Mus musculus: one gene and its partners. The main gene of each other region encodes a partner of the protein of the gene in region 3 in a complex. Links are inferred from orthologs where the notes say so. Each region holds a gene or a part of one and is shown on either strand. Other genes may lie near its edges. The genes, in order: Polr3g, Polr3c, Crcp, Polr3f, Polr3d, Polr3e and Polr3k.

Evidence for each region.
Region 1: Crcp (region 3) and Polr3g share a complex: the UniProt entries of both Homo sapiens proteins name them as parts of the RNA polymerase III complex. The link is inferred for Mus musculus from reciprocal best matches to the Homo sapiens genes CRCP and POLR3G.
Region 2: Crcp (region 3) and Polr3c share a complex: the UniProt entries of both Homo sapiens proteins name them as parts of the RNA polymerase III complex. The link is inferred for Mus musculus from reciprocal best matches to the Homo sapiens genes CRCP and POLR3C.
Region 4: Crcp (region 3) and Polr3f share a complex: the UniProt entries of both Homo sapiens proteins name them as parts of the RNA polymerase III complex. The link is inferred for Mus musculus from reciprocal best matches to the Homo sapiens genes CRCP and POLR3F.
Region 5: Crcp (region 3) and Polr3d share a complex: the UniProt entries of both Homo sapiens proteins name them as parts of the RNA polymerase III complex. The link is inferred for Mus musculus from reciprocal best matches to the Homo sapiens genes CRCP and POLR3D.
Region 6: Crcp (region 3) and Polr3e share a complex: the UniProt entries of both Homo sapiens proteins name them as parts of the RNA polymerase III complex. The link is inferred for Mus musculus from reciprocal best matches to the Homo sapiens genes CRCP and POLR3E.
Region 7: Crcp (region 3) and Polr3k share a complex: the UniProt entries of both Homo sapiens proteins name them as parts of the RNA polymerase III complex. The link is inferred for Mus musculus from reciprocal best matches to the Homo sapiens genes CRCP and POLR3K.

What each region holds. Positions count from the first base shown.
Region 1 is NC_000079.6:81,686,999-81,690,572, forward strand, and holds part of Polr3g (DNA-directed RNA polymerase III subunit RPC7), read right to left. Parts: intron 2,259-3,574; coding exon 2,199-2,258; intron 179-2,198; coding exon 128-178; intron 1-127. UniProt on the Homo sapiens protein: DNA-dependent RNA polymerase catalyzes the transcription of DNA into RNA using the four ribonucleoside triphosphates as substrates.
Region 2 is NC_000069.6:96,724,607-96,728,627, forward strand, and holds the start of Polr3c (DNA-directed RNA polymerase III subunit RPC3), read right to left. Parts: upstream 2,834-4,021; 5' UTR 2,743-2,833; exon of another isoform or gene 2,507-2,742; intron 1,394-2,506; 5' UTR 1,375-1,393; coding exon 1,228-1,374; intron 1-1,227. Other genes in the region: E3 ubiquitin-protein ligase RNF115, read left to right, coding at 3,203-3,304. UniProt on the Homo sapiens protein: DNA-dependent RNA polymerase catalyzes the transcription of DNA into RNA using the four ribonucleoside triphosphates as substrates.
Region 3 is NC_000071.6:130,027,821-130,032,109, forward strand, and holds the start of Crcp (DNA-directed RNA polymerase III subunit RPC9), read left to right. Parts: upstream 1-1,485; 5' UTR 1,486-1,579; coding exon 1,580-1,587; intron 1,588-4,289. UniProt on the Homo sapiens protein: DNA-dependent RNA polymerase catalyzes the transcription of DNA into RNA using the four ribonucleoside triphosphates as substrates.
Region 4 is NC_000068.7:144,530,726-144,534,299, reverse strand, and holds part of Polr3f (DNA-directed RNA polymerase III subunit RPC6), read right to left. Parts: intron 1,947-3,574; coding exon 1,879-1,946; intron 1,143-1,878; coding exon 1,075-1,142; intron 2-1,074; coding exon 1-1. UniProt on the Homo sapiens protein: DNA-dependent RNA polymerase catalyzes the transcription of DNA into RNA using the four ribonucleoside triphosphates as substrates.
Region 5 is NC_000080.6:70,440,619-70,444,881, reverse strand, and holds the start of Polr3d (DNA-directed RNA polymerase III subunit RPC4), read left to right. Parts: upstream 1-1,410; 5' UTR 1,411-1,549; intron 1,550-1,654; exon of another isoform or gene 1,655-1,761; 5' UTR 1,762-1,766; coding exon 1,767-1,931; intron 1,932-2,486; coding exon 2,487-2,530; intron 2,531-3,426; coding exon 3,427-3,578; intron 3,579-3,718; exon of another isoform or gene 3,719-3,720; coding exon 3,721-3,845; intron 3,846-4,114; coding exon 4,115-4,263. UniProt on the Homo sapiens protein: DNA-dependent RNA polymerase catalyzes the transcription of DNA into RNA using the four ribonucleoside triphosphates as substrates.
Region 6 is NC_000073.6:120,927,723-120,931,296, reverse strand, and holds part of Polr3e (DNA-directed RNA polymerase III subunit RPC5), read right to left. Parts: intron 3,410-3,574; coding exon 3,294-3,409; intron 2,870-3,293; coding exon 2,787-2,869; intron 419-2,786; coding exon 311-418; intron 49-310; coding exon of another isoform or gene 37-48; coding exon 1-36. UniProt on the Homo sapiens protein: DNA-dependent RNA polymerase catalyzes the transcription of DNA into RNA using the four ribonucleoside triphosphates as substrates.
Region 7 is NC_000068.7:181,862,839-181,867,172, reverse strand, and holds the start of Polr3k (DNA-directed RNA polymerase III subunit RPC10), read right to left. Parts: upstream 2,814-4,334; 5' UTR 2,715-2,813; coding exon 2,604-2,714; intron 1,228-2,603; coding exon 1,140-1,227; intron 1-1,139. UniProt on the Homo sapiens protein: Core component of RNA polymerase III (Pol III) which synthesizes small non-coding RNAs using the four ribonucleoside triphosphates as substrates. Can mediate Pol I proofreading of the nascent RNA transcript.

The DNA of each region.
Region 1 (3,574 bases), on a different chromosome or scaffold from region 3:
TTCAAAAGTCAACAGTCACTAAGAGGCAGTAAAACAATCAAAATGTCAGACACACTTAGAGAATTTGCAATACCGAGCTTCAGCAATACTCTTACAAACTCGGACTACAGTCTATTAGCCAGTGTACCTTTTTTGCATTTTTTCCTTGGCATCATCTCTCTTGGAAGTCTTCTCCAATCTATGTGTACAAAAGAAAGAATAGAAAAGTCTCAGTGTCCTTGGTGGCTCTGGACTTAGCTAGTTAACACAGTAACAGCTGCTCATGCAAAGACAGCAACATTTCTTAGTATCTGCTTGTACAGATTTAGTGTGGAATGTAACAAAACAAAACCAATATAAATAGAACGACCCTGACATAGTTTCTCCTGTAGAGAAAAAGATCTCATTAAACAGCTTTGAAATGGTGTAATTAAGTGTCTTGGAAAAAAAAATCTTATGGAAATTCTTTGTGGATGTTACTATCAAGATGACAAGTGCTTTCTTTACTATTATTATTTGGCTACTTTGTATTTTCTAAGTTGTCTGTTGATATATACATATTATGTAACTTTTTTTTTCAAAAGTTAAGGCAGGTAATCAAAGCCAATACATAAGACATAAAATAATTTTAATAATTATTTGAAATTTTCAATTAAAAATACTAGTAGTTCTGAACATATAAATTCTCCCCAAGGGATGGCTTTCCGCGTTGCATTAACTAAACAATTCCTTTTTTTATTTACTTTCTTTTAATTTTCTGGAGGGTGCTAGAAATTTAACTCGGGGCCTTGTATATGCTAGGCAAGTATTCTACAATCCTTAGTCTTGTTTTTAAATATAGATTCAAGGGGGCTGGAGGGAGGGATGACTCAGTAGTGAAAGCACTTCCTGGTCTTTCAGAGGACCCCAGTCCAGCTTCCGGCACCCCTACTGTGTGGCTCACAACCATGCATAACTCCAGCTCTAGGAAATTTGATATCCTTTTTTGGCCTTCTCAGGCCATCTACACACATTTGGTGTATACACAAACATATGCATGTGCACACATGTACACAAAACACAAATATATAAGTTAAAATATTTGAAATATTCAAAAATGGTTTAAAGATAGGAGCTGCTGATAAAGGAATGTCAGAGTATTTTTACAAAATAGTTAACCATTGTTATCATTTTACCTACAAAGATAATTTTTGATTTGAATATATTTTAGGGTTTTTTTTTTTAAGATTTATTTATTTATTATATGTAAGTACACTGTAGCTGTCTTCAGACACCCCAGAAGAGGGCGTCAGATCTCACTGCAGATGGCTGTACAGCCACCATGTGGTTGCTGGGATTTGAACTCAGGACCTTTGAAAGAGCAGACAGTGCTCTTACCGGCTGAGCCACCTCTCCAGCCCCATATATTTTAGTTTTAAACTTCTTAGACCATGAAAAAGAATGATTTGGAAAGGGGTTCCCATCCTAGCCCCACATCTTAAGATCAACAAGGCAAAGAGAGCACTCTACTCTGGGAAAGTGACAAGCTTGTAAATGATATTTACAGTCACCTAAGGGCAGTTTCTATAAAAACATTAGTGTCACAGGTATAAAAGGATGCATGTCTGAGGGACAGCAGGCAGTATTGGTAAGAGACCCTGACAGGTTATTTCATTTCTATGACAATTGTTTTCTGTTTATAACATAAACTGGTTTAATGAGTTTCCTTTAAGGTCCCCTCTGCCTGTCGCTATGCAATGTCACACCTGTGAATGCTAACAACGAGCCTCTCAGCATCTTTCTACCAAAATGGTATGCTAGTAGCTAAAACTTGTCTATGCCTCATAGCATATGAGAAAGACTTAAGGTATCCTTAAAGTGATTTTCATTACTAATTAATTACAGGAGGGGAAAAAAAGACTCTACTTTTCGACAGCTAAAAACAAAGAAAACGCCCAAGAATCTAATAAACTTTTATGGTATTTGATAGGGAAGGTGGTCTTTAAAAAGTATTTGAAGGGGCTGGAGAGATGCTTTAGAGTGCTTGCCTTCCATCAAAGTTTGGTTTCAAGAACCACATCAGGGAGGTCACAGCAGCCTTGTCCTGGGATGCTAGCCCCAGGGTATCTGACTCCTTCTGGCCTCCAAGGGACTCACAAACATGACATAGACACACACAAACACAGACATAAATACAACTAAGATGAATCTTTGTAAAAGCACACTCAATTTTATAGTACCTGGTACCCATTCTTCTTTATAGACCTTCATGTATCGTTTGCTATACCTTTCAATATCATCTAGGGTGAGAAGAGAAAAAGCATTCATTAGAAACACAAAAACTTAAGCTATTCTTTTTTTTTTTTTTTTTTTTTTTTAATGTAAGTACACAGTAGCTGTCTTCAGACACTCCAGAAGAGGGCTTCAGATCTCATTACAGATGGTTGTGAGCCACCATGTGGTTGCTGGGATTTGAACTCAAGACCTTTGGAAGAGCATTCAATGCTCTTACCCACTGAGCCATCTCACCAGCCCTTAAGCTATTCTTTAAAGCAACTTATATCACCAGATAATGTCTCTTATTTTCATGTATTTCTTACATTTGTATATAACACACGTAACCGGATCAACATTGACAAATTCAACTAGAGTAACCTGGATAAAATTCACTGATAGCAATGACGGGCTAAGCAGAGACAGCAACCTTAAACCTGGTTCTCAGCCTGAGACAACCTGACTAGCTCTGAGTCCTGAGTGGGTGGAGCTGTGAGTCCTGAGTGGGTGGAGCTGTGAGTGCTGAGTGGGTGGAGCTGTGAGTCCTGAGTGGGTGGAGCTCTCAGTCCTGAGTGGGTGGAGCTCTCAGTCCCGAGTGGGATGACCTCTCCCGACTCCCCTCAAGGTTTGGAGGTGACTGATGATTCCATGCAATGTCTTCAGGCACAACAGGATCAATGTACATATGAACTCCAAGAGATGGTGGCAGCATACATGGGGCCTACACAGGTTCAAGACAGATGAGGTCCCAGCACTAAGAAGGAGACGTGCTCATGAGATCCCAGCCATAACCATTGGTACCCACTGGCAAAGGGAACAAACAGTTTTCTCCAGTGGAGTTTCACTAGATACACCTAGGCTCCATGCTCAGGAACAGTTGGCCAAAGCTTACTGGTTTTGTGTGTTATTATTTGATCTTCCTGTTACCCATTTGTTATGATTTTTCTTTTCGTATCTTTGTGAGAATTTGTTTCTTGCCTCTTTGTTTGGTTGATTGGTTTTGTTTCTTGGTTTTTGTTTTTTAAAGAGAGAGATGGAGAAAGAGAACACAAAGTTAGGAAGGTTAGAGGTGGGAAGAATCAGGGAAGAATTGAGGAAGAGGAAAAGCAATCAAAATACTTCATGAAAAAAATTAATAACAAAAAAAAAATTTAAGTGGCTTGGAGGTTTAGCTGTAAGAAAGGGAAGACGAGCGGGAAGCAGGTGGAGGTGTGTGAGCTGCTGAGTAGCCTGGCCTAAAGAGTGAGATCCGGTATTAGAAAAAAAGACTATACAAAAAAGAACTAACCAAAGATCCAGGGTGGTGGTAACAAATGTGCGCTTAGTGTGGCTGGGAATAGAG
Region 2 (4,021 bases), on a different chromosome or scaffold from region 3:
CCTGCTTCTACCTCCCAAGTGCTGGGATTAAAGGCCTGTGTGCCACCACGCCCGGCTTATTTTGTCTGATCTTTATCTTTCTTCTAGTTTTCTGTTTTGAATGTGGTTCTCCTGGAGCCCAGGGAAGCCTTACACTTGTTGTGTATCTGAGGGTGACCTTGAACTTCCCAGCCCCTCCTTTCAAGTCGTGGGATCATAAACATAAACACACCCAGTTCTATACAGTGTTGGAGATCAAAGCAGGACATTTTAGCTGCTATGCAGTGTGAATGGTCTTTGCTACTTTGTGGGTTCTTCTTTTTCCCACCCTTGATACTCCCTTCCCACTCCCATCCCCACCCGGGTTTCACCCTCTAACACTTCATAAGAGAGAAACAAGGAGGAATTAGGAAAATCCCTGAATTTAATTTCTTTCGTTTCTTCTTTGACCAACACTACTAGTAAATCACAACTTCCCTAAATGACCACCAACCCCCCGACTCCACATATTGGGGCTGGCATTTATACACACTCTGAAAAGTTCCCAGAATCCCAGACACTGCACAATCACAGGAACTATCTATAGCTGGCAGAACCATGCCTCTGCTAGAACATGAGGCAAATCATAGACAGTCTGAAGCAGCCCCATATCTGCATACTTGGGATTAAAATGAAAAAATATTCTTATAATATTTTTGTATTTTTTGTTTGTTTGTTTTTTTGAGACAGGGTTTCTCTGTGCAGCCCTGGCTGTCCTGGAACTCACTCTGTAGACCAGGCTGGCCTCGAACTCGGAAATCCACCTGCCTCTGCCTCCCGAGTGCTGGGATTAAAGGCGTGCGCCACCACGCCCGGCTCTATTTTTGTATTTTTAAAGAAACCAAAATCCTCAAACTGTCACTACAATGTAGTCACTCTACCAACTGAGCTACATTCTGGGCCAGGATGGGCAGCCCAGCTTACTTTGTTCTATCACTGTATTCCTTAAAGGCCATACCCCACCAGTAGACTTACTGTGAATAAATGAGTGTGGCATGGGAACAGCCAAGATGAGCTAGGAACACCACAAGCGGCAGTACACGGGGCCTAAGTACAATACCACACCCCACCCCACCCACTGTGGTACTGACCACAGGGCAGACGGTCTCTGTTCATACTTTCTAGGGGAAGGAGTTCTCCTGTCCAAAGGTACTTGAAGGAAATGATTGAAGAAGTTGAAGAGGAACAGACTCTCTTATCTAAACATACCTGGTCCAGGGATGCTTTTGTGTCGTGGGCAATTACTCTAAGTGGCTGGCTTCCAGTTCTGACTAGGTGGACTCCAATTTTTTCTACAATCTCACCAAAATGCTCTTGCAGCAACAAAGAACACAGTTTAATCTCTGCTTGAGTCATCGTTCTTAGAGCCTCAGAACTAGGAAAGAACAACAATATAAATTCACATATTTTTTTTCTAGAGGGCAACTTGACAATATAAATCAAACCCTCTATATATTAAGGCATATATTTGCCTTAATATTTATAAGTTGAGATCCTTTGTTCCAAGGATGTAGTAAAAACCATGCCATGAGTTCTCTTCACAATACTGGCATTGACATAAATAATCTAGCATCTATCAATAAATTATAGTATAACCTTAAGAGAGTATACTATGCCAACATTTAAAATGACTTCATACAATATAACTACCATAAAATATTCCTAATGTGTTGTCATTTAGTAATTGCAATGGTCAGATATGATGGTGTACACTGCCTGTAATTCTTGCACACAGGAGACCAAAGTCAAAGAATCAATAGTTCCAGGTCAACCTGGGCACAAAGTGAGTTCAAAGCCAGCCTGTGTTATACAGCAAGACTCTGGTGGGTAATACACCCACCACCCACCAAAACAAAGAACTAGAAAACTAGACATCAAATTTGTTTTCTAAAGCCAGGTATGGTGGTGCAAGCCTACAATTTCAGCACTTAGGAGGTGGAAGTATGAGGGTCAGGAGCTCATGGTTACATATTGAGTTCAAAACCAGGTTGGCTACATGAGATCCTATTAAAATTAAAAAAAAAAAAAAAAAAAAGGCAAGCCATCCTCCCCTATATATGCCATTTATTTTAATGGGAATATATGTGGTTTGTGGTTCCAATAATCTTTAAAGACTGGATTCATCTCGGTATGGTGGCTAACATCTGTATTTCCAGCACTAAAGCTAGAAGACTGTCATAAACTGAAGGCCAGCCTGGGCTACATAATAAATACCAAGCAAATCTGGTCCAGAGTGAGACCTTTAAAAGCAAAGGGGGAGGGAAAGTGCGAATAACTTTCTGTCACAGATACAAAGACCTAAGGCTCATGACCCAGTGGGGTACAACTTATTCCCAAGCCATAAACCACGACTTAGATAGATAAAGTAAAAAAAGAGCTTCTTAGGGTATTTCAATTAGGAGATGAAGTTATGTTCCATTGAGAACCATATTAAATTTTTACATCATGAGACACAAGCAGGAATGGGTGTAGTTGATTTTGAAATTACCTCCCTATCACAAGCTCCAACTCTCTCGAACCTAAATTTTTGTCCCTCTTGCCACAGTGTCGCAGAGAAGACTATTTCACTTAGCCACACACACGTCTTTGGAGAAACATCCTTAGACCAGTTGCCATCCTTGAATGCATTTCCTGGCTCCTCTCCCTTCATGCAAGTTTCTGTTCCGGACTTTGTTTCTTGGCCCTGAGTCAGGGCCTCCTCATTCCGGCAGCGTTTTCACTAACCTCAGGGTCGGGGCTAATTTAGAAGCTCCAAATGTTGTCCTCCCGAGGCCAGCAGCCTCAGCTCATGAGCTTCCCATCGCCCCTTCTTAGAAGTAGAGCACCATCCAGGCGGACGCGGAAGGGTCAGAGCACGGGCCGCTCTAGCCGACAGTGTCGGTGGTTTCCGGGGACGCTCTTTCTCTCCTCTCGTTGGGAGGCTGGAGGACCGGCCAGGGGCTGTCTGAGGTGCCGGCGGGCGGGCTCTCCTCTGCCTTTGGTGCCGGGAGGCGGGCCTCGGGTCGCGTGGCCGCTGGCGGGCGGGCCTCTCGGGGCCGGGCGGACTCACGTGACCCTTGCGGGCCTCGGAGCGGCGGGCCGCCCAGAGGAGGCGGCGACGGCGGTGGCGACCGCAGCACGGGAGGTAGCGGCCTGGGGAGGGACCGCCGGCCGCCCTTTCGGACATCCTCGGCGGAGGCGAAACATGGCGGAGGCCTCGGCGGCGGGGGCGGACGCGGGCTCCGCTGTCGCCGCACACCGTTTCTTCTGCCACTTTTGTAAGGGCGAGGTCAATCCCAAACTACCGGTAAGAGCCCCGTGTGTCCCGCGCTCCGGCGCCGCGTAGGTCCTTGGCTCCTAGGGCTGGAAACCGGGTCTTAGGCTGCCCGCACACCCGTGATTCCCTTGACACCGGTGTTCTCGGTACCTGCTGCCCGCTGTCTCCGGGCACTGGTCGCAAACCCTGGGCATCAGGGCCAGGGTCCTGCCTATCCCTCATTTCCGCGGCGTCTCCAATCAGCCCCTCATTTCGCTTCCGCTCTTTAATACCACCCCCATCTTTTTTTGTCTCCTCGGTGAATTCTCGGGCAAATCTGCGTCCAATTTGCTCTCAGTCCCCTTCCTTGTCTTTTCGCGATGACCTATCCCCTGTACTCTTTCCGTTTTTGCGGCTCACCTACTCTTTATTTTTCTTCCCACTTCTCAACCAGATCCTCCCCCCTTCTGCATCCTCAGTGAGCCGAAATAGCATATTGCTGAGGACTTCTTAGTAGGTTTTGTTGAAGTACAGAAAGAGGAGGTTTGGAAGGTAACAGGGAAGAGGGAGATTTTGTTCTTCAGTGGTTTTTGGGTTCTTGTGAAAGTGAAAATAGCAGTGTACCAATGACTTGCAGACTGCGCTCCCTGTTGCTATCGAAGGAAATGGCTTTGGGAAGAAGGTAGGACGTACTGTCTCAACTTATTTTGGATATCACGTTGCCAGTGTCTTTAGCTCCACTTTCCTAGCCCACCCCCTCCATTTTTT
Region 3 (4,289 bases):
CAATGCACCTCAAACACTCTTGGCTTTGGGACGCCTCTTTGTCCTTGTTAGTCATTCCCCTGACTGTGCTGGAGTCTAAACACAGTGTGTTATTTATGCCCTGAACTGGTCCTCCAACTGGGCTGTCAGCTAGCTTGGAGAGTGTGTATTATTCACATCTGAATCACCAGCACCCAGTGGGCAATCACGGTAAGACTGTTGAGCGAGTAACACCATGAACACCATTGTGGGACCCATTCTCCTCAAGACAGGTACAGGGCACCATTCAGTCTTACGTTATGATGACATTTTATTTACTTGATAATTTTTTAATTTAATTTTTTCTTATTTTCAAATACCATCATTCTTGGATGTACCTGTTGAACACACACACACACACACACACACACACACATGTGTTGGTTTTTATGAGACAGAGTTTTCTTTTCTTTTTGTTTTTTTGAGACAGGGTTTCTCTGTGTAGCCCTGGCTGTCCTGGAACTCACTCTGTAGACCAGGCTGCCTTGAACTAAGAACTCAGAAATCTGTCTGTCTCTGCCTCCAAAGTGCTGGGATTAAAGGCATGTGCCACCATACCAGCCAGACACCCTCTATTTCTAATACATTATCCCCTGCAAACCATTTTAACACTCACACCAATCTCAGCACTGGGAGGCAGAGGCAGGCAGATCTCTGAGTCTGAAAGGCTACTTAATGAAAATCTGTCTCTCCCCCCCAACTCCCAATTTTTAACGGTTGTATGGGAAACGGGATCTCTACATAGCCTACGTTGACTAGAATTCACCATGTTGCCCAAGCTGTCCTCAAACTCAAGGCATTCCACCTGCCTCAGCTTCCTACGTGCTTAAACCATTCCCCCAGTTCTATTTCTGTCTGTTGAGACTGGGTTTCTCTTTTCTCTGCCTCCTTCTTTCCCCCTTGTTGGAATTAGAGGCTTGTGCTACCTTGCCTGGCTTATGTTTTTTGTTTTGTTTCATTTTGTTTGGTTTTTTTTTTTTTTTTTTTTTTGGTTTTGTTTTCTGTTTTTTTGAGACAGGGTTTCTCTATGTAGCCCTGGTTGTCCTGGAACTCACTTTGTAGACCAGGCTGGCCTCGAACTCAGAAATCCGCCTGCCTCTGCCTCCCAAGTGCTGGGATTAAAGGCGTGCGCCACCACTGGCCGGCATGTGTTTTTTGTTTTTAACAAAAACAAAAACACAAAGTCTCAAATAGCCCCCATGGCTTGAAAGTCATTATGTAGCTCAGGCTGGCCAGAAACTCCTAACACTTCTCCTGCCTCAGCCTCTCTACTGCTGGGTTTACAGGTATGAGCCAGTATGACCGGTTTAGGGATTTTAATGCGGCCAAGGCAAATCCTAACAAAACCTGCACTACGAAAACGCTCGACAGTCTGAAATTAGACCAGGATAGGGACACCTAGAATTAAGGAAGAACCGGGCGTGCCCCGCAGCGATCCCGGCATGCACCCCGGCGGTCCCAGCGTGCCTTGCGGCACACACACGGAACCGGTGAGCAGAGCAGCGCCGGCGCAACGTGAGACTCTTCTCACGGCGGTTGCGTACGCTGAGGCAGAGGCAACATGGAAGTGTAAGCGACACGACCAGGGGAAGCCAGGATCATCTGGGGACCGCGAAGCGGCCGGCGGCTAGACCTCGGGACCCGCGAGCAGGACGGGTGGGCGGGGTGCACGGGCCGGAAGTGCCTGGAAGTGGGGCGGCAGGGGAGGGACCCTGCTGCTTGGGAACTCGCTCGCCTCCCACATCTTTTGGGGAGGGGAATGTTGAAAGGATAGAGAGGTTTCCTTTTTTTCTTTCTTTTGGTTCTGGGAATGGATCCCAAGACCGTGCACGCGGTCTGGAAGTAGTGCGACCCAGAGATAACGTCCCAGTCATTATCATTACTATCTTGGGATGTGGACTTTGCATACGCTAGGGAAACACTCTACTACTGACTGAGTCATATTCCCAGCCAGCATCATCACCATCATCGTTTTGTGATGGTGGAAATGGTACCCAGGACTTTGCTGGGCAAAGGCTTTGCCACCGACCTGCATCGCCAGCCATTATCGCTATTGTTATTTTGGAAATTTGAGGAAGGTACCCAGGGTTGTGATCGTACTGGGTGTGCTAGTTTTCTTTCGGTTGCTGTGACAAACACCATGACCAAAGCAATTTAGGAATAGAAAGGTTTTTATTACATCTTACACTTCCAGGACACAGTCCATCATTGAGGGAAGTCAGGGCAGGAACTCGAGGCAGGAAACCGAAGCTTCAGAAACAGTTCAAGAACTCTGATGGCTGGTTTACTCTCTGGCATTTTCTAATTTTTGTTTGTTTGTTTGTTTGTTTGTTTTTTTGAGACAGGGTTTCTCTGTGTAGCCCTGGCTGTCCTGGAACTCACTTTGTAAACCAGGTTGGCCTCAAACTCAGAAATTCGTCTGCCTCTGCCTCCCAAGTGCTGGGATTAAAAGCCTGTGCCACCACCAGTTGGCCAGGTTGTACCCTCCTGCATCATTTAATAATCAAGACGATCCCTCATGGACATGCCCATAGACCAGCCTGATAAAAGGCAGTTTGTCATTGAAGCTTCGTCTCCTTTTGATGATTCCAAGCTGTTTCAAGTTGACAGTTAAGACCAACCAGAAAACCAGGCCAAGTTTCCCCCCCACTCCCTCCAGACAAGGTTTTTCGGTAGAGCTCTGGCTGTCCTGGACCACGCTTTTTAGACCAGGCTGGCCTTGAACTCAGATATCCATCTGCCTCTGCCTCCTGAGTGCTGGGACTAAAGGTGTGCGCCACTACCGCCTGGCAACTAGGCAGATTTCTGAACAGTACCCCCAGCTGTTGTTGGGATATACTCTTCTTCCTTCTCCTCATCATTATGGTCATCATTTTGTGATGTTGGGGATGGTACTCACAGTCTTACACATGCTTGGCAGGTACCACTGAATGACAGACACCTTCCACACCGTTATTATCATTGTTATTGTGATGATGATGTGGTGTGGTGCTGGGGATAGAACCTAGGGATGGTAAGCAGGTACTTTATTACTAACACACACACACACACACATACACACACACACACATATACACATACACACACGCACATACACGCACACACACACACACACACATATACACATACACACACGAACATACACACATATTCTCTCTCTCTCTCTCTCTCTCTCTCTCTCTCTCTCTCATGTGGTGTTTGGGATGGAAGGGACCTGAACATGCAGACAGTCACTCTACTAACAACAAAGCTACCTGTCAGCTTATTTTTCCACACTTTTTTTTTTTGTTTTTGTTTTTTTTTTGGGACAGGGTTTCTCTGTGTAGCCCTGGCTGTCCTGGAACTCACTCTGTAGCCCAGGCTGGCCTCAAACTCAGAAATCCGCCTGCCTCTGCCTCCCGAGCGCTGGGATTAAAGGTGTGCGCCACCACACCCGGCTCCCTGTGCCTTTTAATATATGGTCTACTATATAGTCAGAGTTGGGAAACTGGACCTCTTCTTCCTTTTACAGCTAGCACTTAGAAAGGAGAGGCAACAGATACATAACAAGCCAGCAATAGGCTTCAGATGAGAGTGCCTGTTGGCTGGCTGTGAGGTGGGAGGGAGCTCTAGGTGAAGTGTTCGTTGACTTCGATGCCTTCTGTTTTCTGGTATCAAAGGGTAGCTTTTCAGAACATGAATTGATGGCATGCTGCTTTTAAGCTTAGAAAAGTTTAGCAATTCTGTTCGTCACTCCGTCCCTAAGTCAGGTGTGTGGCAATTAATAGGCACTGCTCACTTGTTTGGTGTGTGCTTGTGTGTGCTTTTAAGGAAAGAGTGTCAATAGATCATTTTGTTCTGTGTATTCAGAACTCTGTTTTCCAAAATGCCTGTTTACTTCTGTTGAGCTGACTCAGCAAACTTTGCAGGGTAAATTTCAAATGGCAAGTCAGCTTCAGTTCACTAAGGAGTTGCTCAAGGGCACTGAATAACCACCCACCTACCGCACAGACTCCACAGTCTTTAAAATTCACTCGGACCCAGGGTCGTGCTCCTTAGGAGTGGGGGCAGGAGGAGCACAAGGCCGAGGGCAGCCGCAGCTGCAGAGCAGGTTCCAGGCCAGCCTGTGAGTCTGTCACAGTGAGAGCCTGTCTCAAAAACACACTGAAAAGGCCCAATCTGTACTGAGGCGATCCTGCCTCCACCGCCCTGTCCCCTTCTGCGCTGGCTTGAGTTGTCCGGCAGTGACTTGGAATGGCCAAGGTCACGTTTCTCAATCACGAAAGCAGAGA
Region 4 (3,574 bases), on a different chromosome or scaffold from region 3:
CCTGTAAGAAAATAGGAAAGCTGATAGCACATCATTTAACTCAAAGTTCAGAACTGTTTTCAGAACCTAAAACCTGAAGAAACCAAACCAAACACTGGGATAGAGACAGACTACAAGAGCCAGTGATAAAGTATATGCTTTGTCATTCTAACTGAACATTTCCTGGAATCTTGGTGTGGTTTTGTTTTGTTTTGTTTGTTTTTTGAGAGGGCCTCACTATGCAGCTGCGGTACAGACCATGCTGGCCTTGAACTCAGAGATCCACCTGCCTCTGCCTCTCCTCGTACTAGGATAAAGTGATGTATCACCATCTAGAGGGACATTTTCTAAAATATATATAAAACAACAACATTTTTGTAATGAAAAAAAAAAAAAAAAAAAACCCCACCACACAAACCACGAACATGGTTGAATTAGCTTACATCACATCTCCTTTCCAATCTTTTACCCTAATCTCATCTTCCTGATAGTTTCACTTCGGTGGCGCACACCTTTAATCCCAGCACTTGGAGGGCAGAAGCAGGCAGATTTCTGAGTTCGAGGCCAGCCTGGTCTACAGAGTGAATTCCAGGACAGCCAGGGCTACACAGAGAAACCCTGTCTCGAAAAACAAGAAAAACGAAAACAAACAAACAAAAACCAAAAAAAACACTGTAAATGAAAAGGAACTTAAATTTGAATCATGTTCATCTGCCATCTTCAACCATGGGGTGGGGGTGGGGGATACAAAAGTTTACCTGCTTCAATTCATGTACATCTATTATTTAAACAACATCCTACTTGTAAGATGGAAAAAAATAAGGCTATGGTTCTTAAACTCAATACCCATTGTGGGAAGTTATGAGTTTTCCTTCAAACAAAGTTGTACATGAAGAAAGAGACTATGTACAAAACATACATGCTTAGCTGCATGTAACAGGATATGCCTGCAATCTCAAATATCAGGAAGACCAGACCAGAAGATACTGAGTATGAAAGCCTGGTCTACAGGATGGGACCTTCTCGTAAACAAATGAACAGAACACTTTTTTAGGTCTAGCCCTGCAGACAGCACCTCACCCTTCCCATACTCACCTTTATTCCCTGCATCCTCTATGATTTGATAGACCAGTTTTTCCTGGTTATCGGACCCCTTCATTTTACTGCAGGGAATAGAGCAGAATTAAAAAAGGAAAAATTGTAGGCTGTGTTATCATCTGCATGACTACTTCATTAGCAGACAAGGCTATCATGCTGACTTATTTAGCAAAAGAAAGGCTTACCTTAAAAAGAATGAGACAGAGTTGTGTGTAACAATATGAAAAGATGTCCAAAGTACAATAAATAATAAAAAAAAAAGTTACAGAACAGTATGGATAGCATGATCCAGACTTGTGAGAGAAAGAAAGAAAAGAGAGAAAGAAGAAGAGCGAGAAAGAAAGGGAAAAAAGAAATAATATATATAGAATCATCCATGAATATTTAAATCTGTCTAGAAGAAATTACCAAGAGCAGGTCCTCTGGGAAATGGAAACACAGAACAAAAGCAGGATGGTACAGTTTCTTCTGGGTTCTTACTTCGAGGCAGGATCTTTTGACACATAGCTTAAAATTGTCTTCAACCTTATCATTCTGCCTCTGCCCCCATGTGTCAAGACTACAGGTGTGCACCACATACTGAGCTACATTATGTTCATACAGTCTCTCACATAGCTCAGGCTGGCCCTCAACTTGCTGTGTAGCTCAGGATAGCCCTAAATTTTCTGCCCTACTTCCCAAGTGCAGTGATATGGGTGTGTGCCACAATACCTGTTACTATGTTAGCATTTGTTTTAATATGTACATTACTTTTGCAATAAACACATTTTTCACAAAATTAAAAAATAGGTGCTTACTTACCCAGCATTCTGAGAATCCTTTATTCTATATAAGAGGCCTGTGTTACTCCTTAAAAGATCCAACTGACCCTAAAGCGTTTTAAAATAAAATATCATAGTCAATTACTCTGGAAATATATCAGTTCAGATGGCAAGTTTACTACAGTTTTAAATGTGTTGATTATACACACTATTCTGCTACCCACATTTGTTAGTTCTTCATCCGAGACTGAGGATTTTGTTTGCACACCTCAAACAAGGTATTTTTTAAAACTAATATAAAGACAGTTCAAGCTAGAGATACTAATTGTGTCCTATATACTAACCTGGTTTCATAATTTGGCCAGGGCACAAACAAGTTTGTTCTTGTTTTTTTCTTTTCTTTTCTTTTCTTTTTTTTTTTTTTTTTTTTTTGAGACAGGGTTTCTCTGTGTAGCCCTGGCTGTCCTGGAACTCACTCTGTAGACCAGGCTGGCCTCGAACTCAGAAATTCGCCTGCCTCTGCCTCCCAAGTGCTGGGACTAAAGGCGTGTGCCACCACACCCAGCCACAAACAAGTTTTTTTTAAAAATCTATTGTCAGTTGTGGTAGTGGCACATACCTTTAATCCCAGGGCTCAGGAAACAAAAACAGGCAGACATGAGTTTTAGGCTAGCCTAGTAGTCTACAGAGTGAGTTTCTGAACAGTCAAGGCTATACGGAGAAACTCTGTCTCAGGGGAAAAATTATTTTATTTCTTATATATGGATATTTTGCTAGCATATATATCTGTGCACCATTTGTAAACAATGCTCATGGAGGCCAAAAGAGAGCACTGAATCCCTGGTATTGAAGTTACAGCCAGGTGCAAATCATCTTGTATGTGGGTACTGGAAACTCAGGCCTTCGTAAGAGTAGCAAACGCTCTTAACCTGGGGGAAGAAGAGACAGCTCAGCAGTTAAGAAGAGCACTAAGAGTTCTTACACAGGACTGGGGTTCAGTGCTCAGTACCCACATGCAGCTATCAACAGTCTAACTTCAGTTCCAGGAGATCAGTGTCCTCTTGTGGTCTTTGTGGGTACCAGGCATGCATGCAGTGCAGGGACAATACATGCATGCAAAACACTCACACACAATAAATAAAAAGAAATCATTTTTAAAAAGTTGTTTTAGGATAATATATATATATCCATATTGATTCTAAATAAGTCCCAATTATATAAAATATGGATAGATACAATTAAAATAGAATTTGTACTGATAAAAATTTAGTCCAGATAAAGTATAAACATGAATATTCAACAGTATACTAAGTTAAACTATAGTTATTAATGACATTTACTAACATGTACAATTTAATTGTGAATGGAGAATTAGGCAAAAAGGTTAACCAGTGAACAAAAGGTCTCCTGTAGTGGTATTTTTTATAATGAAGCAAAATAAGATAAATCATGTTCTATCGTGCTTTTGAACCTCCTTGGACCTGGGCATCCTGAGAATCCAGATGCATGTACCACTGAACTTGCAGAAGTTATATATAACTATAACCAAGAGGGGGCCCTACTGCATATTAAGAATGTAAAATAGGTTTACTTACTGGATAAACTGCAGTGCCCTCCCTTCTTCATGAAACGGCAACATGGGATCACAAAATTCAATTCAGAGGTCCCCATCTGTCCTTTATTCAGGCTATTCTGGCCACTCACTAAACACCTGTACTGCACCATTTTAGGATAGC
Region 5 (4,263 bases), on a different chromosome or scaffold from region 3:
GGCTTGTCACATAATTTCCCCCCCCCCCTTTTTTTTTTTTAAATAACTGCATATGTATGACATCAAAATGAAGTTTACTTATTTACTATTTTCATTTTATTTATTTATTTTGGTTTTTCGAGACAGGGTTTCTCTGTGTAGCCCTGGCTGTCCTGGAACTCATTCTGTAGACCAGGCTGGCCTCAAACTCAGAAATCCACCTGCCTCTGCCTCCCAAGTGCTGGGATTAAAGGCGTGTGCCACCACTGCCCAGCAAAGTATACTTTTAATATGTACATTTTCTGAAACTCTTTCCTAGGGATATAATCTACAAGAAAGCAAAAAAGTTGGATGTATCAAATGTACACTAGCTATTTCTAACAACATACCTATTTAAAGTAAGTGCCCCATTAAGGAAACAAGTTACGATATATACATATAAATATGCACATATATATCCTCCCATTGGTCATTTGTCTCCGACAAAGAATACACTATTGTGTGGCACAATATTACAGTACATCAAAAATATTTTAATGCTAGCAGCCTATGGAATTCCAGCAGAAATAGGTTCCTTCCCTAGAATTACATAACCTTTTTATTTGTATTGGGGTCGCTGTAGTGTAACATTAAATGACTCCCCCCCCCCCAGATTAGATTGCAACCACACATTACAATAAAAAAATTTTTCAGCTGGGATTGGTGGTGTACATCTGTAATCCCTACAACTGAGGGATGAGTGAAGAGACTGGACTGCTGCAAATTCGAGGCCAGCCTGGTCTACTTAAGTTCCAGACTAGATAGGGTTACAGAGCAGGGTTGTCTTAAAAATACCCACACCTCCCAACCAAAAATCAAAAAACAAAAACCCTTCCAGTTGAAGAGCAAACTTCAGTTCCAAAGGCTTCCCAGATTTGACTAAGCAGTCATGGGCCCAGGTAGATGAGAAGAGCTATTGGCTGCTCTGTCCAAACTGCGTTAAGGGTGACACCCCAAGACCCCAGGGACCGGCAAGGGAAGGCGCACGCGAGCAAAGGGTCGAGCCCGAAGGTGCAATGACCACGCCAAGGTCAACGCAGGGAGGCTGCAGCCAGCCACGGCCTGAGGGCTCTAAGCTCCCTATGTCCGGAGCCCCATCCCGAGCGGCGACCCCACTGCTCCCAGAGGCTGCGCAGTGTGGACTCCACATACAGCAGGTAGGCGACCTTGGAGCCCCTCCACCTCCGACCCCGAGGACCGCACCTCTACTCCCTGCCAGGGGCCGAGACACGCCCCCACGAGTCACACCCCGGCACAGCTTACAGTCCACCTCCCACATCCTTTTTCGCCCTCTCAACCCAGCTTTTCCCGACTCCGGGAAGAACCGGGAAGAGAAGGCGGAGGGCGGCGAGGCACCGTCGGATAAATACTATGGTCAGGTCACGCCCCCTTGATGTCACTTCCGCCCCAGGGTAAGATGGCAGCGCCCGGTCCTTGCCACGCAGACTTCCGCCTTGCCCGGAGACCCGCGGCCCGTGGTTGCTCTAGTCGGAGGTGAGGTTGTGATACTCGGCGCAGAGCCTCCACGCAGGTGCGTCACGAAGTCCCCAGGGAAAGGGCAGGTGACGGAGTCCAAAGCTAGGGGTGGGGCGCTCCGGGAAGCCTCGCCACGTGGGACGGGGAGGAGCTGAGCTGCAGCGAGAGCGACGCACGGGCGGGGGGCGGGAGGCCACGTGGGTGCGGTTCCGCCCAGGGTCCTCGCGTCCAGCCCTTGGAGTCACTTTGTTGCCTACTTTCTTCTAGGAACCATGTCGGAAGGAAACGCGGCGGGCGAGCCCAGCAATCCTGGAGGGCCGCGACCCCTTCTCTCTGGGGGCCGGGGGCTGATCGGCCGGCGGCCCGCACCCCCGCTTACGCCCGGTCGCCTTCCCTCCATCCGCTCCCGGGACCTCACCCTTGGCGGAGTCAAGAAGGTACCTGCGAGCGCGTTTGTATAGAAACCCACCCAGGCCGTAGGGAGGCGACTCGTGATGTTCATTCATGTGCTGCCTTGGGCCCCTGGTGGGATGTCAGCCTTTAGAGAGACCTGCAAACCTAGGTGCTGGTACAGGACACTGACAGGGTCTCCTAGGCAATTAAAAGACAGTGAATCTAGTTGATTCAAGACATCCGGAAGTGCTTATTATGTTCTGGGCTCCTTACAAAATCCCTTGAAAGCCAGACAAAATTGCTTTACTTGCAATTTCGAGTGTTCATAACTCTGTGGATGTCAGTATTGAAAACTAATAATCTAGTAAGTGATGAATCTTAGGCATGCCGGTAACTGCTCTTTGTCCCCTCCTGTTATGTGTGTAACAGTAGATGTAACTGTACCGAGTAGCTCTGAAAAGGAATAGCAAACACAGGATAAAGCATTTTAGCTTTGCCTTGGGGGCTACTGGTGATAGTCTACCTGTCTCTCTAAGCCATCCCAGGACTGTTGGTCAGTTGAGCACATCGAAAATACAGTACTGTGTTTTACTTTTCAGAAAACCTTCACCCCAAATATCATCAGTCGGAAGATCAAAGAAGAGTAAGTAATGAATGAACAGTACTCACCCCGGTTAGCTCTGAATTTGGGGACGTAATTAGGTTGTGTGGCCTAGAGATTTTAACTTACGCTATTAGCTTATTCACCAGTGGTTCTCATCCTTCAATCCTGGGTTATATAGGGGCATGTTTCTTTTTGAGACAGTGCCTCGCTACATGGCCTTGCATGTCCTGGAACTCACTTATGTAGGTTGCTGGCCTAGAACTCCCAGAGATGTGCTTGCCTCTCAGACCTGTGTCCTGAGTGCTGGGATTAAGATGTACACCTCCACGCTTAGCTCCAGGGCACTTTGCATTAGAGGGTCTTTTTGGTTTTTGTTTTGTTTTGTTTTTTTTCTGTAATAAATAGCTGAGATAATTGGCTTACAGAGAGGGACATTTTGTTTTGGAGATTTTAGTCCACGATCAATCAGGTGGTTCTTGCTTTTGGGTTCATGGTATGGCAATGAATGCAGTCGGAATACCCAAGGGAAGAAAGAAATTAAGGAGAGGAAAGGGCTGAGTTTCTATTCTCCTTTAGGAGCTGGGTAACCACCCAGTAGGCTCCATCTCTTATAGTTTCAGCTACCTTCTGTTTCTGCCGAGGTGGGGCTGAACTCTCCAACTTTGCCTTAAGGTCCTCTGCTCTCCAGCCTTTCTACTTTTAGAGGGTTAAAAAACCAACAAACAAAACAAAAGGCCCACATTTTGACAAGACGGTAAAGTAGAAGGAAATTAAAGGCCGTGCTTTATGGGAGATGTCAAAGGTATAGCGAAGGGTTGGGTGCCGATTCTCGTAGTGTACTTACTGGCTCACAAGCTCTGCTCAGCGGGCTGAAAGGGGCAAGCGAGGAGGCTCCATTTCCTGAGGCAGACCCTTTTGTCTGTCCTCATTCCCAGGCCAAAAGAAGAAGTGACTATGAAGAAGGAAAAGCGTGAACGGGACAGGGACCGCCAGCGTGAGGGTCACGGACGGGGACGTGGCCGCCCGGAAGTGATCCAGTCCCATTCTATCTTCGAGCAGGGTCCGGCAGAAATGATGAAAAAAAAAGGTACCAGGAAGGGACCTGGTCTGGGTTGCAGTTCAGACTGCCTGAGAAGGCAGAGCGTGGGAGTCTCCATTCCAAGTTGGGCTCTCCTCGCTGTGGGCAGTCTTCCTTATTGAACCCTAGTGGACAGCATGATTTCCCGCAGGGAACTGGGATAAGACCGTGGACATGTCCGACATGGGACCTTCTCATATCATCAACATCAAAAAAGAGAAGAGAGAAACAGACGAAGAGACCAAGCAGATCCTGCGCATGCTGGAGAAGGATGACGTAGGTGCCAGGAGCCTGGGGGACAGGTTCTTTTGTAGCTGCTAAAGAGGGTTTTGAGGGAGCCAGGCCAGGGACATGTTCAAGCTTTTGGTTACAGGAGCACTAAAGAGGGGCTGGGGGTGCAGCTCAGTGGAGAGCGAGCTTGCCTCTGTGTGAGACGTACACATATGCAAAGAAAAGAGAGAGACACAAGTCCCGAAACGGGCTGTGATGTAAGCACACGTGCTGACATTTCATGTGACCCCCCCCCCCCTCCAACTCTTTGGCAGTTCATCGATGACCCGGGGCTAAAGAATGACACACGGAACATGCCAGTGCAGCTGCCTCTGGCTCATTCAGGGTGGCTTTTTAAGGAGGAGAGTGAAGAGCCAGAGGCTAAGCCTTTTTCGGCTGGCCCCAAGGAAGAAGATATGGAGGT
Region 6 (3,574 bases), on a different chromosome or scaffold from region 3:
CGTCTTCTTCTGCCTCGTCCTGAGAAGAATCCCCTGCTGCAAAGCAAGCTGTCAGTACAGTCTCTACTGGGACTGCTCATTCTGCCCCAACATAACCCTCCCTCAAGAGCGCCAAGCAAGGGGCCCTGCTCTCAACTGGAGCAGTTTAATCCTCAGGTGATGTCTGGCCATCTGTGGGGACATTTTTTGGTTGTCCCAGATGTGGTATTTAGTAGGCAAGGGCCTGGCATGTCAGTAAGAATCCCACCACCTGATCTCTGTCAAGTGCTCACGTGAGCTCATTCAGACCACAGGCTGTCAGCAGGCTCACCCTCATTGGCTGCCTCCCTCTCTCGGTGCTTGGCATCTGCCTTATCAAGGTAGGAGAAGCTGGGCCGAAGCTGTAGGATGCCATGTAAAGGTGTCAGGTGGAGCTCACCTGGCAAAAGAAGAAGGGTTTGAACATGCCGCTACAACCCAAAGCCGACATACCCAACTTGCTCAAAGGAAACACCAAGTCCCCCAGAAGGCCTACACTCACTGTTACAACACCAAGCCAACTCCAATTCCAATTTAGCCTCTTCAGGAGACCAGGTCAGGAGCTGTTTCCAACTAGACACACTAAGCACGCCCAGAGCAGGAGCCTGATTCTGCTCAAGGCTACTTCCTGAGATTTGCCTCTCTACACTCTCTGCCATGTCATGTCTCCAACCTCATGCCTACTGCTCCCTCTATCCACAATGCACAACTCACCCACTCTTCCCTCTGGGCTCTGCTATAGTGCTGTTGCCAGACCCTACCAGAGTCCATTAGAGGACAGCATAGCCTTTAACTAATATGTCTCTGGCTGCAAGGATTATAGCTTCCTGGGCTGGAGAGATGGATCAGCAGTTAAGAGCACTTACTGCTCTTCAAGAGGACCCACATCTGATTCCTAGCACAAATACGGCCCCTCACAAGCACTCCTAACTCCAATTCTGGACTCTGCAGGCACCAGGCACGCAAGCAATGTACATACACACGTGCAGACAAAGCAGTCAGACATAATAAATCTAACAACAGATGAGCAGGCAGTGGTGGCACACACTTTTAGTCCCAGTACTTGGGAGGCAGAGGCAGGTGGATCTCTGAGTTTGAGGCCACTCTAGTCTACAGAGTGAATTCCAAGACAGCCAGGACTACAGAGAAACCCCTATCTCAAAAAAAAAAAGAAAAAGAAAAAAAAGGGGGCGGGGGGCAGGAGGGTGGGTAGTGTTGCAGCATTGAGCTGTAGTTCAGAACAAGACAGTAGCTATGGACGACAACAGGATTCTTGAGACAGGATCTCCCTACATGGCCTTAGAAGTCCTGGACGTACCGTGTAATATACCAGACGCCCTGCCTCTGCCCCCGAGTGCTGGGGTTAAAGGTGAGCACTAGTGATACACTTCGGAATGTCTCCTCTCTTCTCAGAGCCTGTCATTCGTTGCTTTGCAAAGCCCAAGTGCTGAATGTAGTACCTTGAGCAGCCAACAGATGTGCGGAGTGTGCTCTGACACACTAGACACCCCCAGCTGAAGCACACAGCTTGATATACACTAATATAGTCTCAAAATTGTGGCAACTCTGCCACTCTCAGCTTTGGCACATCTTCAACACCTCAAAAAGAACCTGTACTTCCCATGATCACCTTCTTCTGCCCTTGGGGATATAGTAGAATGGTTAGCTCTGTCAACCTGACAACACCTGGAGTCTCAGTCAGAGTGGCTAGACTGTTAGCCTGGGGCACGTCTGTGGCGCATTATGGTGATTAACGAGACAGCACACTCTCTGTGGGTGGAACTGTTACAATGGGCAGAGGGTCCTGAACAAGAGTGTAGAGAGCAAGCCGAGTACTACATGCATACATGTATTCATTGCTCTCATCTTGACTGTGTAATTACTTCCTGCTGGTTCAGCCTCTCAGGAAGGTCTGTAAACTGCAACTGTGAACCTCTTTTTCCCTCATCTGCTTTTGTCAAGGTGTTTTGTCACAGGAATAGGAAAGAAAATTAAAGCACGTAGTTCGCTATCATTTTTTTGTTGTTAGTGGTGTCTGTTTTGAGACAAGTCTCTCTCTATATCCCTGGCTGTCCTATATACTATTTAGACCAGGATGGTCCAGAACTCAAGAGATCCACCTGCATCTGCCTCACAAGCACTGGGATTAAGGGCATGCTGAGATTAAAAGTGTGTACCACCATGCCTGGCTATATGCAGTGTTTTGAGCATGATTTCTACCATCCACATGGATGCATACATTCATCAGGGATTCGCTCTTTCACATGAGCAGATAAGTCTGTTATCCTTATAGATGTCCTGTGGATATGGCACATTTTGTTTACGCAGGCATCACGTGATAGGTTTGGGGCCGTTTCCATTCATTGGCTCTCATGAATAAGGTCCTATGAACATCTGTGTCCAAGGTTTTATATACACATATTTCTATTTGTCCTCAGTGCATGCTGCCCATGTATGAATAGGATTGCTTGGTTCTAAGTAGCATGTACTTAAAAGGACAAAATTCTGCAGCCTGTCCAATACTATGCTATGTTGCATATGTGTTCCCAGGAGCAAACTGACTTGAAGCTCCAACTCTACCAAGTTGGAAGTGCCCAGCAAAGTCCTCTTCGCAGTGCTTTGACTCCATAGTTTTTCATTTCCACACTGCCCTGATCCTGCACAGTTTAGTGTTCAGTAGCAGCCAACAGCACACATAAGACTAGATGAGGTCCTCAGGCCCAGTCTTCCCCGTGCTCTCCCAGGGTATAGCCAGCTCTCCCAGGTACCTTGCCTGTAGAGTGCAGCGGCATAACGAGCTGTGTTGCTGGTGGTCTGGGAGGAGCAGAAGGTCTGCTTGTCCATCAGCTTTCTGGGAACACAAGGAGAATTAGTGTCAAGGGCTATGATGCTCTACAGAAGCCGGCCAACCCTATTCCATCCCAACAGAGATCCACCTGCCTCTGCCTCCCGAGTGCTGGGATTAAAAGTGAGCACTTGTGATACAACTTTGGAACGCTTCCTCTATTCTCAGAGCCTTGTCAATCCAATGTATACTAGCTAGGACTAAGGGATGAGAAAACCCAGAGCTCTGAGGGATCAAGGGATAATGATGGGCACCCGCTGGGATAAGCCAACGTAGGAGGGAAGGCCAACAACACTCTTGGTTAACGGTAGAGACCTGACATGATTGGGATCCCAGGGAAAGGGCAGAAAGGACCCAATGCCTGAGGCCACTAGAGACTCCTCTTTAACCTTTACCTTCAGTGGGAGGGACCCTGGGGGCAGGAACTCACGAGGAATATGTGCTAGTCTCGTCAGCACAGGCACCGTCCACGTTCAGTGCGATCTGCTCCCCTTTGCTGCGGCAGTAGTTGGGATTCAGGGTGTCGATGGCCATCTCAAGCTCTACCTGAAGGTACAAAGCACCACCCAACTTGGAAAGTGCCATGGCACAGCTCCCCAGGGACACTCCCAGCCAGGTCCCTACCTAGACGCAAGAGTGACCAGTGTCCTTCCCAATGGACACCAGGGTTTCAGTCCACACAAAAAGCCACCAAAGAAATTCCTAACAAAA
Region 7 (4,334 bases), on a different chromosome or scaffold from region 3:
TGAATCATGTTCATGCAGTACCCTTGGATGCCAGTAGAGGGCATGAGATCACCTGAAACTACAAGTACAGAAGGTCTGAGCTGCTATGGAAGTTGGGAAGGAAATCCAACTTAACCACTGAAATCCTACCCAACTATTTCTTGGTTGACAGACTGACTGAGGCAGGGTCTCATGAAGCCCAGATAAGCACTGAGCCTTCTGCCTATACCCGGAGAGCACCAGAATTATAAGCTTGAGCAACCATGCTTCACCCCTAGTTACAATTTTTTTTTAATTCATATAATAAAAAATAAAATGAAAATAAAAGACCAGGGCTGATCATTTTTTCAGTGTTGGTATTTGAAAATACATACAACATAACTCTCGAGAAGCCTACACCTGCTAGAGCATGGATCTCTCTTTCCCTCTCAACAGCTATGTTTACATCAATGTTGAAACTTTTTTGTAATGAACTCCAATTTTGCTTCAAGAAGAGAATATGCACCAGATTTATTTTTAATTATACTTTTCCATATCTGACTTGAGAGTCTAAATGAAACAACAGTTCAGGTATCCGTATGGTAACTTTCCTTTAAAGAATACTTGAAAGAATCTACTTTAAAAAACATTTAATACAGCCAGGTGGTGGTGGCATATGCTTTTAATACCAACATACGGGAGGCAGACAGGTAGATCTCTGAATTTGAGGCCAGCACAGTCTACAGAGCAAGTTCCAGGACACCCAGACTACACAGAGAAACCATGTCTCAAAAAACAAAATCAAACAGCAACAAAAATGTAAAACCTTGTTTAGAGTTAGTGACAAACACTAGCTATTTGTCATTACTTTGTTATTTACATCTTCTTAAATTCTTTTACACTTACACGTACGTACGTGTGTGTGTGTGTGTGTGTGTGTGTGTGTGGTGGATGGTACAGAGTCACAAAAAAAAAGTTTCCATCAGTCAGCTCTCTTCTACTCTCTGGGCTCCAAGAATCTAACAGGTTTGGCAACAAGTGCTTTTACCTGCTGAGCCATCTCACTGGCCCTAATAACAGACAGGGTTACATTATAATAATAAATTTATTATTATTAAATATAATAACGAGTAATAATAAGCAGGGTTGAGTCCCTAGCTCTGTTATGGGAAAATCCTCACCTGCAGTAGAGTCCACATTCTCCCATGCAGCTGCTCCACCAAGCACGTCGTCCACTTCTTTTAGCTTTGGATACTTTCGGTTTGTTACCTAATAGAAACAAGACATCAGATTTGAAGTAATTGTACAGTTTTACAAGTGGGCCACCAAACTACAATCTCCCTCCAGCATTCCCTCTACAAAATTTATCTTCTTCAAAGAGCAGTGTGAGTCACTGAAATGTAGGGGTCTTGTGACTGGGATGTCCCCCAAAACAGCACAGAGGTTCAATGTCAAAGGTCTCTAGAAACAGAAGGAAACACCAGACAGAGCAGGAAGAAAAATCAGCCTAGTAAAACCTCACTCTTCTCTCATACCCCTCAGACACCTAATAATCCAACAGGAGTGACAGACATTTAACTGGGTATACCAGCACTCCCCAGGTCATTTTGGCTGCTTTCCTAAGTTTATCAGGCATCCTTCTAATTTCGAAATTATGTCACAACTCATCTTACCACAAATCCAGACTCTAAACTCCTACCATACAGCTCTAATGAGCAAACATTAAGAATGAGATGTCACCAAGGCCCAGTGGTGCACACCTGCAGTCACTGAGGTAAGGAGGAACAAAACAAGAGTTGAAGGGTACACAAAACACCAAGGGCTAGAAATACAGCTTTCTGGGCTCCAACACAAGCACCACACACACAAAATAGCAACAAGGATATAAAATATTAGAAGGCAATGCATTCTGTGAAAAATATAAAAGGAATGTGGATAAACTGAAAGTGCTGGGGTTTGGTTTGTTTCCTGTGCCTGTGCGTGCGTGTGTGTGCGTGTCTATGTGCTATGCAGCCCAGGTGAGCCTTGAACCTATTCTCCTGCCGCAGCCTCTCCAAGTGCTAAAATTATAGACATGCACAAACAGCCAGAAGGGCAGGAATCTAAATAAGGTAGCCATTATTTTAAAAGAGGAGAGGGAGAGAGAAAGGAAGAGGGAAACAGAGACGCATACATGCACACATACACGGGGGTAGGGGGTAAGGCGGAGAATGAATAAGTGTGATATGTGCCTGTGTAAGAATGACTCGGGCAAAAGGAAGGACCTAACAGTACTGCGTACATGGTGAAGATTCTCTAGAATAACGACAGGGGCTGGGAGCAAAAGAGCCACAAGAAGAACCCAAGGATTTCAAATCAGAGGCGAGGCGCGGACTGGTACGCCAAGGACAGCACGAGGGGAGTGTAGGTTTAAAAGGTATGAACTAAAATTCTCACAATTTTCGGAGTATCACAAAGTGGGCAACGGAGAGCTAGAGGGGGGTGGGGGGGCTTCGACGTGGCCGGAGCGACGCCACTGGAGCAGCGACTGCTGGACTTGGGGTACCACCGCAGCGAGAGCACAAAAGCCTGCAGGAAGGTCTGAGCGCGCCGACGCTTGCTGTGCCTCCCAGAAAGCAGAGAAGGCACCCGTCTGTGGAACTTACCTTACGGGTGATATTATGGACGTAGGGGCAAGTGTTGCAGGCGAAGCGATGGCAACGCTGCCCCTCCTCCACAATGAGTCCGTTCCCGCAGCCCGGGCAGAACAACAGCATACTGCCAGCTTCCACACCTCGCTTCTGTCTGGCGCTTCCGTGGTGCAGGCGCCCAATCAAAAGCCGTCTCACTTGCTCCGTAACTGGCAACCCGGGATCCTCAAGACGTTCCCAGTAGGCACTGCGGCGGGCAGCCTCGCACACTCCATTGGTCACCGCAGATAATCCTTTCCCATCCAGCCAATAGCATGCTGCCTGCACGCCCAGCCCTGTCGTTTCTGCGCGTGTGCACACGTCTCCCTAGCTGAAACGCCAAGAGGACTGGACCGATAATGCTGGCACCACCAGAGTACCCAGGTGAGAGGTTCTGGGTGATGAGGAGACACTTGCCGCACTCCGAGCCATGGACGTGTTACAGGAGGATCATGCTGCTCCGCAATATTCTCATCCGGAACGGACAGAAAATAACCAAATGTCCCAGGAACACTGTCCCCATTGTTAATACTACGTCTCAACTGCTGTCTGACTGACGTACGATATCCTATCTGGACCTGCCATTCCTCCATCTGGCCATTTCTTCACCTAGTTTCATTCTGCCCTTTCACTTACACAGCTAGACTCAACCCTGCAGGTAACAAATACCAGCAGCTCCTTTTCACAGACGTCCAGCTGACTCTTTTATCTCATTTCCTATAGACATTTATATTTCCCAGCTCTGGCTTCTCAGATTTCTTTGAAACTCCTTGCCTCTTTAATCCTCTGCAGTCATTCTGCAACATGCACATGTATGTGTGTGTTGTTTTCTGTTTGCTTTAACTATACACAAACTAAATATCCAGGGAGAGGAACCCCAATTGTGAAAATGTCACCATAAATTGACCAGTAAATAAGTCTCTGGGGGCATTTTCTTGAGTTAAAATTGGTAGGAGAGGGTCTAGCCCATTGGGGGCGGTGTCACCACCAAGCCAGTGGTCCTGGGTGATATAAGAAAGCAGAATGATGGGGCTGAAGAGATAGTTCAGCTGTTGCTTGTTCTTATAGTGAACACTGGTTTAATTCCCAGCACCAATATGGTAGCTCACAAACGTCCATAACCTCCAGTTCCTGAGAATCCAATGCCCTCTTCTGACCTCCGTAGGCACCAAGCACGTCTTTGGTGCACGAACAAGCATTCAAAAAAAAAAAAAAACAAACAAACAAAAACCCTCATACACTTAAGTAAGTCTAAGAACAAAATGGAGAGAGAGAAAAAAGCAATCTGAGAATCTGAGTAAATCATGAGGAGCAAACCAGTAAGCAGCATCCCACCATGGTAATGGCTTCTGTTTCTGCAGCAAGTTCCTGCATTGACTCCCCTAAACAATGGACTCTTGACATGTAAGCCAAATATTTATGGCTAGTTTTGTGTCAACCTGACACAGCTGGAGTTATCACAGAAAAAGGAGCTTCAGTTGGGGAAATGCCTCCATGAGATCCAACTGTAAGGCATTTTCTCAATTAGTGATCAAGGGGGAAAGGCCCCTTGTGGGTGGGACCATCTCTGGGCTGGTAGTCTTGGTTCTATAAGAGAGCAGGCTGAGCAAGCCAGGGGAAGCAAGCCAGTAAAGAGCATCCCTCCATGGCTTCTGCATCAGCTCCTGCTTCCTGACCTGCTTGAGTTCCAGTCCTGACTTCCTTGGT